Rattus norvegicus: one gene and its partner. The protein of the gene in region 1 binds, or shares a complex with, the protein of each later gene. Links are inferred from orthologs where the notes say so. Each region holds a gene or a part of one and is shown on either strand. Other genes may lie near its edges.

Region 1 (4,862 bases):
GGAGACTATCTATTCCCTACACACCTCCCAGTGATACCGTCTAGTACTTCAGCACAGAGAACAACAAAGAGAACAGTGGCATGGAAGACAATGCAAGCGAATGAAACAAAATTAGAGAATTTACAGTTTGACAATGAGATACTAGTTTTTCTAGATTTAGTTTCTTCATTTCTGTGGAGTGAGGTAAAAAATAGAATTAATTATTAGACCAGTCCCTAAGAAAACAAACAAGGGCAGGCTGAGCTAGAAATCACCAGCACAGACCTGACAGTAAAGCATGTATATGAGCACCTACCTGTCCAGGAGGCCTCAGGTCTGCCTCCTTCCTTATAAAGCCAGATGAAGCAGGAAGACAGACAGACTTGCCCTTCCAGACCTTGGCCATAACCTAGCTTGGAGAACATGGTTTGCAAGTGGAGGTACTGCTAAGAGGTAAGTGAATTCTAAATTTATGGGGAAGCATTACAGATCCTATGAGCAAAAACCTTGAGACACCAAGTAAGACAATACATTCCTTATATTCTAACTGATATGGAAACCACAATGTGACATCTTCTTAGATTGTATTTTGGAGCTCAGAGGTTAAAAAAAAAAAAGGTAAAGCAATGAATGAAGTATTCATCAGAGTCCAGTGCTTTGGGTTACAGTCCCACCTTTTCTGAGGATGTCAAACCTGGCTTTTATATCCTAACATCATTTAATATGTGAGATAAGACCCGAGATTGATCAACTCAAAGGAGCGTGGCACGTAAGAGGAAAGTGCAGGTAAGAAATGCCTTCTTCGGGGCTGGGGATTTAGCTCAGTGGTAGAGCACTTACCTAGGAAGCGCAAGGCCCTAGGTTTGGTCCCCAGCTCCGAAAAAAAAGAACCAAAAAAAAAAAAGAAAAAAAGAAATGCCTTCTTCAAAGTACAGGGAAAACCCTACAAATTCACCATACTTGGTAATGGCTTTTATTGAACTGGACTGTAACAAATGACAGAGGGCCCCTCAGTAGAAATGGCCAGAACATCTCTCAAGTGAGAACTGGGCTATGGTGAAGCGAATGTTCAGGTTGGCAAGAAGAGTTTCCCCATTCATGTTCAAGGTGGTAGCAAATCATGAATCCAATGTATTAACTGCTTAGCCTTTTAAAAGAAAGCATAACAATTATATTTAGTGTACTTTTATTGCTCAGCTTATTGACCAGAGGCATACCCTGTGTTCCAAAGATCAAGTCCTCAAGCGTGCCAACAGTACTGACTCCAGTCTCTGTCACATCCCAAACACCCATCCAGACAAGTCAGGGACTGCAGCTGCTCCCTGCCATTTTCAAGAAGAGACAAACTGAAATTCCTAACTTCTTAAAGATCTTCCTACAAATGATTTTATTATAAATATTTCTCTTGGAATAAACAAAGGCTGTATTCAGCACTATCTTCCAACTTGTTCTAAAGCAGAAGAGAAAACATGGAATCCAGAACCATTTAGAAATCAAGATAAACAGCAGACACCTGAGTGCCATGCTAAGTGTCTTTCTAGTAAAATAAAACAAACAAACCCAGAAAGTTAAACAGGAACACCCAGTCCCACTAGCCTGCTGGATGAAAATAATGAGTTTGGTAATCCGCTCCTGTTCTGTAAACTGAATTGCTCCTCTCCTCAGTCCTGAGGAGCAGACGGGAAGGCAGAAAGTCTTCAGATCCCGAGAGCATCAAGAAAGATCTTGACTGTGCGTCTGTAACTTTATGGATAAAAATATTCCCTATTTGCCAGGGGTAATGTCCGAGTAATCCTTCAGCACTCCAGCCAAGTGTTCATTGTGAGTCTTAAACCGTCGCTTTTTCTGTGAAGCAGGCTTTTTCCTTCTCTGAATAGAGGCCTGCAGGACAAGGTAAAGACAGTTAAACACAAGTGACCCTAGGGGCAGATGGTTAACATTTACTCAACAAGCCCAAAGACCAGCAGCATAGGCACAGGGTTCTGAGCCTTCCCTGGTTCTTGCTTGGAGGCCCAGCCTCAAACACCCCCTTCACAGCACATACCCAGCCTCCAGCTAGACCTGGTGCCTTCTGACACCACGAGGCTTTATAAACCTCCACTGGAAAAGAACAGGCAGGCACGAAAGCATAACACAACTTATTGAGTCATTAAGAGGCAGTGAATTTCTGTGCTGTCTCCATCAAAGGGAATCACTTCCTCAATAGTTGGAGAGCAGGATGAGAAGCAGCTAACTGTTAAGAGAAAGGACAAACTGCTTTTCTAAAGACTACATACCACTTTCTTTGGTCCAGATTCCTGCATGGAAGAAATACCCTGTCGCTTCAGATACTCTTCAATTTTCTCCTCATCCATTGAATCCACAGTAACACTCCTCCACAGTTTCTGGAACTCTATACCAAGAAGACAGCAGTTATTTTTCCATAAATTTGTATAAACCATAACATCCTGGCGATCAAAATTCACCTTGAAGATTATATGTCCTGGGCCTAAATTAACACGTCTGAGATTTCACTAAGAAAACAAAGAAATACCTTAAACCCCGGCACTTGGGAAGCAAAGCAGGCAGACCTCCGCAAGTTCAAGGCCAACCCCACCTAACATAGCAAGTTCCAGGCAAACAATGAGGATACATAGTGAGACATTGTCTCAAAAAAGAAGGAAAGAGACAGACACAGACACAGAGCAAACGTATGTCAAAGCTGGAAGAAGCACCAGTAGGTCATGTGACCTGGAAGGCGTCTGACAGGACCACCAGTGTGCTCTATGTTTTATGATTTAGCTGGAGGAGGGTGCTGTAGTTGAAGCTTCTCCCATCTTCAAAGGGAAGAGGCAGTTAGCACTTGAGGAGGAGGAGAAGGAAGAGGAAGAGGATGAAGAGGAAGAGGAGAACACTCCTTACCATGAACAAAGGAAAAAGGCAAGTGTCTCCTAGATATCTCATTCTCATACTGGATATGTACAAAACAAAAATCCTTTATGCTTTCAATTCTGCTCCTAAAGACAGCTCTCCCGACCAGGCTCATGAGCAGCCTTGAAGCCTTCCCCACACACACCCACCTGTGATGCAGTCTTGCAGCGTGTATTCTGGAAGCCGAGAAAGGGAAAGCTCCTGACTATGATGCCAACCCCTACACCAACATGCACCTCCCATCCTTGCCAGTCCCCTAGCCGTCCTGCAGACTGTCACATACTTCATTTGCAAGCTATGTGATGGCTCAGTGGTTAAGGCTGTTCTTCAAGAGGACCTAAGATTTGATTCCCAGCACCCACCTACAAGGTGGCTCACAACCATCTCTAACTCAAGTTCTGGGGGCTCTCACACCCATGTGACCTCCACTGCCCTGCTCAGCAGTTAAGAGCACCAACATACATGCAGGCAAAATACTCATGCAAAAAAAAAAAAAGATAAATTTTTTTCCAAATTCTTTCAATCTAAAACAAACAAATGGCGACTAAGGCTATGTGCATGTGAAAACATGCAAGCGACTAATGCATTATTTCAAGAATCAAAGTTCACACAGCTAGTCTGGCTATTGTTTAGTGTGTTCCCACACCTTCAACACTTGACACCCTATACCCCAGAATTCTAACAAGAAAGCCTCTGAATAAGCCGCTTTGCTTCATAACTTAACAAAAGACTAGGACAGCAATCTTAAGCTAAAAGGAACAGAGCTGGAGGCAAGAGACAACACGACCACAAACCGCATTGCAAAGCTACAGTAATCAAAGCAGCCTAAAAATAAAGAAATGTCAACCTATGAAACAGAACACAGAGTACAGAGAGGATTGTCTTAACATCCACTAAAATAAATATCTCAGTTGATTTTTAATAAAGATGTTAAAAACAGAAAATGAAACGAAGTCTCTTTAATAGTGTCTTGGGTTGGGGAGCAAGTGTGGCTGGAGAGATATCTCAGCAGTTAGGAGCACCAACTACTCCTCCAGAGGACCTGGTTGGCTTCCTGAGCACCTGCATGGTGGCTCTTAATTTCAGTTCTGGCCTCTGTGGGTCTCCTGTAAGTGCATACAGATATACATGCATGCAAAACACCCACACGAAAAAAATAAAGTGGGCCAGAAAAATAATTGAACCTACAAGCAGAAAAGGAGGTTTTTATCCCATACTCTGTGCAGCAGTAAACTCAATTAAGATTAATGACAGACGCACACAGAGTTTTTTAAGAGCTCTGCTGTAATTATTTGTCCCTCTGTAATGACTCCTTCTCTTCCCTCACTGTCTTTATCTTCAGTGGTCAGCAGTCTGAATAAACCATGTCTGGTGTTTTCCTCTTTCGTTTGTTTGGAGAGGGACGACTTATCTCATGTCCTCATGATTTAGATCCATCCTGGTTTGATGTCATTAATTCTGGAAAATTCTTGGCCACTGCCATTCAACTGCCTCTTCCACCATCTCCTTCAGACTCAAATTATCCATGAAGACCATCTGCTATTGTCCTATAACTCGAAGGTGCAGTTGGTTTTTTCACACTTCCTTCTGTTTGTGTATCAGCGTTCATTTCCCGTGGTTACACCATGTTTACGAGAGGCTCCTGGAGCTGTTCCTCAGCTCTGTCGCCACACTTTTCACTAGATTTTCTTAGTTGAAATATTCCACTTCATCCTAACAGTTGATCTGGCCTTTTCTACTACTTAGTTCAACATTAACAGTTATTTTAAATTCTGTGTCCGGCAGTTGTAGTTAGTAGTTCAAGTATGTGTGTCTTAAAAGTTTGGTCTCGGGGTTGGGGATTTAGCTCAGTGGTAGAGCACTTGCCTAGCATGCACAAGGCCCTGAGTTCGGTCCCCAGCTCCAAAAAAAAAGAAAAAAAAAAGTTTGGTCTCATTACTGACATTTCCTTTGTCTTTTTTTAATGCCTTTTT
Region 2 (6,338 bases), on another chromosome or scaffold:
CAGACACGCACGGGGACACATGCCTTTAATGACCAAGGGAAACACTCAGGAGGCAGGGCAGGCAGATTTCAGTTCAAGGCCAGCCAGGGCTACATAGCGAGAGTTCCTTAAAACTAACACAAAAAATGGAAACAATAAGTGGATGAAGGGTGTGAGGCTGGCTGTTAAAAGTGACTACGGCTCAGCTGCCAGAGCAACACCCAGTAGTTCACAACTGCCTATAACTAGCTCCAGGGGCTCCGAGCGATGCCCTCTTTTGACCCTAGCCCACCTTCACAGACAGAGGCAGACATACACACACATAAAAGTGGCTGTGTTCCCCCACCCTTTTGGTTGTTTTGAGACAGGGTTTCTCTGTACAGCCCTGGCTGTCCTGGAACTCAAACAGATCCACCTGCCTCTGCTTCCCAAGCTGAGCCTAGAGGCATGTGCCGCCACACCTGCCCGTGATGATGCCTGGATGTGCTGAGAGCAATGTGAAGCCCCATCAGAACCAAGGACCACACTACTAAGACATCATCTCAACAATGAGCATGCTACAGTCAGCTGGAAGGAAGATGCCCAGAAAGATCCCAGGGAGAACTGGACCCCCCTCCCCCGACCTGTGCTTCCTGTCTATCTGCCAACACACGTACCCGGGAGTACTGCAGCTTGTCCACAATGTCATCACTAGTGAGGGGGATTAAACCTGCAAGACACAGAAAAGTGCTCTGCAGAACAGCCAACAGCCAAGCCACCACAAGAACCTCAGAGGTCAGGCAGGCTAGGGACAGGGAGCATCCCACTTTGATCTCTTCCTCAACACCGGCACTCACCAAGCCTGTGCGCGATGAATTCATCATGAAGGACCGAGGAGTTGGCATCAATCTGAACCCAGTCAATGGCTGGAAAAGGCGGCAACAAGACAGGACGAATGAGAACTAGCCATCAGATTCATTTACAGACCTATAGCACTGTCTCACATCACTCAGTGCCCAGCAGCACTCGGGAGGCAGAGGCCAGCCTTGTCTACAAATTGAGTTCCAGGACAGCTAGGGCTACAAAAGAAAAACAGTGTCTCCAAAGCAAAAACAAAAACAAAAAAAACCAAAACAAACAAAAAAGAAAGAATCAAGTCAGTGCTTACAAAGTTGAAGGTGACCAGACCAGGCCAGACTAGGCTGTAAGAGGCTTCAAAGTTTAGCTCCAGGTTTAGGCCTTCCACATTTCATATATATAATCTTCCTGCCCCAGTGAACTGGGTATAGGCCTTGTTAGTGATACACATACACCCCTACCTACCTCAGAGAATTTAGAGATATTTAGGGAATTGAGTACTTTAAACCAGCTACCTGTGCCAATACCAAATCCAAGAATAAAAGCTATTTGGGCACCTAAAAGTTGAGGGAAACATGGGTTGGAGGAATGGCTCAGAGGTTAAGAGGTTCCTGGCAGGGTTGGGGATTTAGCTCAGAGGTAGAGCATTTGCCTAGCAAGCGTAAGGCCCTGGGTTCGGTCCCCAGCTCTGAAAAAAAGGGGGGGGGGAAGGGTTCCTGGCACCCATGTCAGGTAGCTCACAACCCCTGTAACTCCAGCTTCAGGGGGATCTGAGACTCCTGGGCACCTCTGGCACCTGCATTCACCTGTAAACACCTACACACAGAGACAGTTAAAAACAATTTAAAGGGCTGGAGAGATGGCTCAGCCCTTAAGAGCACTGACTGCTTTTCCAGAGGTGCTGAGGTCAATTCCCAGCAACCACATGGTGGCTCATAACCATCTGTAATGGGATCTGGAGCCCTCTTCTGGTTTGTCTGAAGACAGCAACAGTGTACTGACATACATAAAATAAATAAATATTAAAAAAAAAATTTAAAAATTTTCAAGTTAGGGAAAACATCTCAAGAGTAAAAAGTAAAACATCACAAGTTCATGGCCCACACCTTATTTATGATATCACCAGAGAGCCCACTTAGAATTTCAGTGTTACTCCCATCAAGGGATGGTTCACTGGATGGCTTCAACAGGGAAAGCACACTAACAATAAATCCAACCCCTCTCAGTTCAATGCTGGGCATACGGGACTGTACACACACAGAAGCTTAACTTAAACCTGTACCTAATCGCCCATAAGCAAACACCTGCACATAAACAATGATGTTCAGAAATCAAATGGTGTGGGAGCCCAGTTCTCAAGCAGCTGCCATAGGCACAAGGAAGAGAGGTCAGAAGACCAGGCGAGGACAGGCCCAGCCTGCCCTTCCCTGCAGCGCTTCTTCAACCCTAGCAAGGGTGAGGCTTCCTGACGCTTTACTTCCAGGGCCCCCTCAATGCCCTTAATCTACTCCCCATCCCTTAACCCCTGGTGGGAACTCCCGGTATAAAAACCCTGTGTGTGCGTATCTACAAATGCTCCATCCCCTTCTTTTGGTCTCCTTCCTTTCTCTCAAAACAAACAACAAACAAACAAAACTGTTTAGACTCTCCTGAAGACAGCTGTCATATTTTGCCTTGTGTTATGTTTGCTCATTTCTTGACTTCACCTGGAAACTTACATGATCTACAGAAATAAGAAATTCATTAAAAAAAAAAAAAAGACACCAGAATAAATACAAAAAACCCTGTAGTCTGTCTTATCTGTCTGTCTCTCACTCACACACACTTCAACCATAAAGAACTAAAGTATGCTGTTTGTAAAAGAAAAGTTTAATAACACACATGCTTTCTCTCATGTGGGCGCTCTCTCTCTCTCTCTCTCTCTCTCTCTCTCCCTCCCTCCCTCCCTCCCTCCCTCCCCCTCCCCTTTTTAAATAAAAGGAGAGTTCAGGGCCTACAAGATGGTTTAGCGGGATAAAGGTACTTACTTGTTGTCAAGCCTTATCGAGGTCAATCCCTGGGACACACATGGTGGGAGAAGAGAATCCCTCCCACAAACTGTACTCTGACCTTCACACATGAACTATGGTACTCTCGAGCCCAGAGATATACACATATATGTAAATAAATATGTTCTAAAGAAGATAGGGGGAGAAGAAAAGAAAGTATAGCAGGGTACTATCTGGAAGGACGGAAGGACGGGAGAAATCACTCTGTGTGTAGATTTAAAAAATGTCATTACGTAGTCTGTTATTTTGTAAAATTAACAGACATTTTCAAAAGACGCCAACCAGTAACGAACACTGACTTAAAAGCAAAAGCGCAGGGGCTGGGGATTTAGCTCAGCGGTAGAGTGCTTGCCTAGGAAGCGCAAGGCCCTGGGTTCGGTCCCCAGCTCCGAAAAAAAGAACCAAAAAAAAAAAGCAAAAGCGCACCATCTACATTACTTCAGTAATCTCTGTATCACCCGCTAACCTAGGGTCACCTTACGGATGAGGAGGCTGCAGCCCTCGGCTGTTTTAATAGTGCTTAGTCTTGATTTCTGTTGCTTTTGGGTAGACGAACAGAGTTGGAATCCCCGCTGCCGAGCAAGGCACGCACCGAGGCGGGCCTAGGCAGCCGCAGCCCGGCGTGCACCTCCTCAGTGTTCTCAGCTCCCACCCGGGGCGGAGGGACGGCGGCACCGGCTCCGAGGGAGGGTCGCTTACCTATTATGGGCACCTCTGCGATGAAGACCCTCCGAATGGAATTGGCCACCCTACAGGAGGAAAGGCAGGCAGCGTGAGAGGCCCCGAAGACACAGCCCCGGGGTCAGGAGCCCGAGGCCCCGGCCGCCCGCCTCTCCCCTCGCCTCCTTACGCCAGGTCCGTGTTCTCGATAATGAACTTGACGTTCTCTTCAGTGAGTTCCGTGATCCGCACGGTTGGCTGGTTGGCGTACGGCATCACGACCGGCTGCCTGTCTCCCGCGCCAGCCCCACAGCGCGCCTGCGCGACCACCAGTTTGTCGGCGGGGCACCCGGGCGCTTCCGGCTAGACGTGGGCGCAGTGCCACCTGCTGACCGGAGGCCGGAACTCCTGGCCTGTGTTTTCTAACCACACTGGCTACATGCACTGGTCCTATGCTCTTGAAATCCCCAAGATACACAGCACAAAATTTCACGGACAGGGTCATTCACGCCAATGTTATTTGTAATTGCTAAAAATAATAATAAAAATTCCTAGGAAGCGCAAGGCCCTGGGTTCGGTCCCCAGCTCCGAAAAAAAGAACCAAAAAAAAAAATTGATAGAGGCTTGGTTAAACGTACATACGGGGATGTGGAGATAAGAGCACTGGCTGCTGTTCCCTAAGAGTTGGATTGTATTCCCAGCATCCATATGACGTCTAACATCTTTAGCTCCAGTTTCTAAGGAATCTCTTTCCTGGCATCTGAGGGCACCAGGTAGTCAAATGGTGCACAAGCATACATGCAAGCAAAACACCCATATACATAAGAATAATTTTTAAATGTGTAGGAATACAATAAAGCCTTTTAAAAGATGGAAGCTGTACATCTAAACATAAATAAAATGGCTAGGGAGGTGGCTCATTGTGTAAAACGACTGACAGGTTATTTCTCTGCCAGAGAAATGAGTCAATTCAAGTCAAACTAGAACATATTAAAAGGTAGGTTTATTGGGAAGCTGTTCTCAGGCAAGTTCACTGGCCCCCAAGAATGGAGGCCAGGGGAGTCACCAAGGGAAGGACAGGGAGGGAAAAGAGGGGAGAGGGAGAGAGACGGGGAGGGAGGGAGGGAGAGAAAAGGAGAGAGAGCACAAAGCACAAGGTATCTGGATTAAACAGGAAAGAGAAGAGCCTCTGAGGAAGGGCAACCCAGCCTCTAAGCTGGAAAGTTCAGGGTGGGGGCAGAATATGACAAGTAGGGACTGAAAGATGCTGGGAGTACCTAGGGGCCAGCTCTGCATTGATATGTAAAGTACGCACCACAGTCCCTGGTCCCACTGTCAAAGCCAAAACACCAATGTGCAAGGATACAGGTTCAAATTCTCAGAAAACTCGATGTGCAAGGATACAGGTTCAAATTCTCAGAAAACTCGATGTGCAAGGATACAGGTTCAAATTCTCAGAAAACCCGTAAAACAGCCAGCATGGTAATGCCAAAGTCTGTAATCTTAGTGCTCCTTTGAGTTGGAAGGTGAAGAGAAGAATCCCCTGTATGCTCTTAGGACAGTTAGATAGTGCGCAAAGAAGCAAACAACAAAAGACCCACACCCGAGCTGATGTCAGAGAGAGTGCTGTAACGCATACACATGAAAATCAAAATACATGTGTGTGTGAGAGACGGTACAACACATCATGTGCGTGGAAAGACACCAGGCCTGACTGCAAATGCTCTCACCCACTGAGCCATCTCAAAGGTCCCCAACATATACTCCAACAATGCCCATACAGAGGGGGCCTGCTCACAGTACACACCATCCCTGGGAATTGTGAGTCCCACTTGTCTGCTGAGTGAGAGGGATGCTAAAAAGGATAGAGAAAAGATGAACTGTAATCATGGCAGTAACTTTATGGGACGTCGAGACAAAAAAATCAGAGGTTCGAAAAGAGCCCGACAGAAAGTCCAGTGGACAAGAACGGAAACTCAGCTTTCCCCGTCAGCTGATTTAAACAGGAGTACAGCAGAAGGCAGTGCAAACCATGGGCACAAAGGAAACAGCCAGTGTAAAGGCTGGAGGACTATGAAAGCTAAAGATTGCCCTCATGTAGTCAGAGAGTAGGAGCAGACAAGGAGCTCATGGCCTGGGACTGCCCTCACTTGCCTGGGCCCAGAGATGCAATGCTGTCATGGTGGCCCTGTAGGTTTAAGGAAGTGTCACAGTCAGAACTCAGACTTCTTCCATATACTACTGTCTACCGTCGGGGTCTTGGATACTCAACATTGTCTAGATGGACACCGTATAGACAAAACAATAAGAAATTGTTTCAAACATATTTATTATTTTTACAGACTCTAAATGTACTAATGATCCTGCAATGCACACTGGTGTCTGTGATGCCAGGTTCAGCATGACCATCCAAAAGGCACCTGTCTAGGGGAGGCAGCTTTCTGAGGGGATCCAGAGGAGCAGTGGCCAATGGCAAATACCTCTGTGAGCACACTGTCTGCCCTGTGCTGGGGAAGAGCCCCCACTATGTGTTGCCTTTGGACCTTGGTTGTGAGCCCCTAAGAATATTTCTCAGGGGATTTTGATCGACAGGATCACACTCTGTGGCTCAAGCAGGCTTGTAATTCTCTACATAGACAAGCCTGCCTCTGAACTCTCAATCCTGCTCTCCAGTCTTCTGCGTACTGAGAATACAGGTATACGTCACTATGCCCCACTCCTAGAGAACAGTTCTAAGGTCAAGACATGATCAAGATGCCCGTGACACCATGGCAGAGTCATGCCAAGTTTCTGTGGTTTGAAACCTTGGATGTG

Evidence for each region. The genes of interacting proteins can lie anywhere in the genome.
Region 2: Gtf2e2 (region 1) and Polr2c share a complex: the UniProt entries of both Homo sapiens proteins name them as parts of the TBP-based Pol II pre-initiation complex. The link is inferred for Rattus norvegicus from reciprocal best matches to the Homo sapiens genes GTF2E2 and POLR2C.

What each region holds. Positions count from the first base shown.
Region 1 is NC_086034.1:65,101,238-65,106,099, forward strand, and holds the end of Gtf2e2 (transcription initiation factor IIE subunit beta), read right to left. Parts: exon of another isoform or gene 2,372-4,862; coding exon 2,256-2,371; intron 1,861-2,255; coding exon 1,744-1,860; 3' UTR 1,149-1,743; downstream 1-1,148. UniProt on the Homo sapiens protein: Recruits TFIIH to the initiation complex and stimulates the RNA polymerase II C-terminal domain kinase and DNA-dependent ATPase activities of TFIIH. Both TFIIH and TFIIE are required for promoter clearance by RNA polymerase.
Region 2 is NC_086037.1:10,167,107-10,173,444, forward strand, and holds the start of Polr2c (DNA-directed RNA polymerase II subunit RPB3), read right to left. Parts: upstream 3,825-6,338; 5' UTR 3,801-3,824; coding exon 3,715-3,800; intron 3,614-3,714; coding exon 3,564-3,613; intron 885-3,563; coding exon 816-884; intron 689-815; coding exon 636-688; intron 1-635. UniProt on the Homo sapiens protein: Core component of RNA polymerase II (Pol II), a DNA-dependent RNA polymerase which synthesizes mRNA precursors and many functional non-coding RNAs using the four ribonucleoside triphosphates as substrates.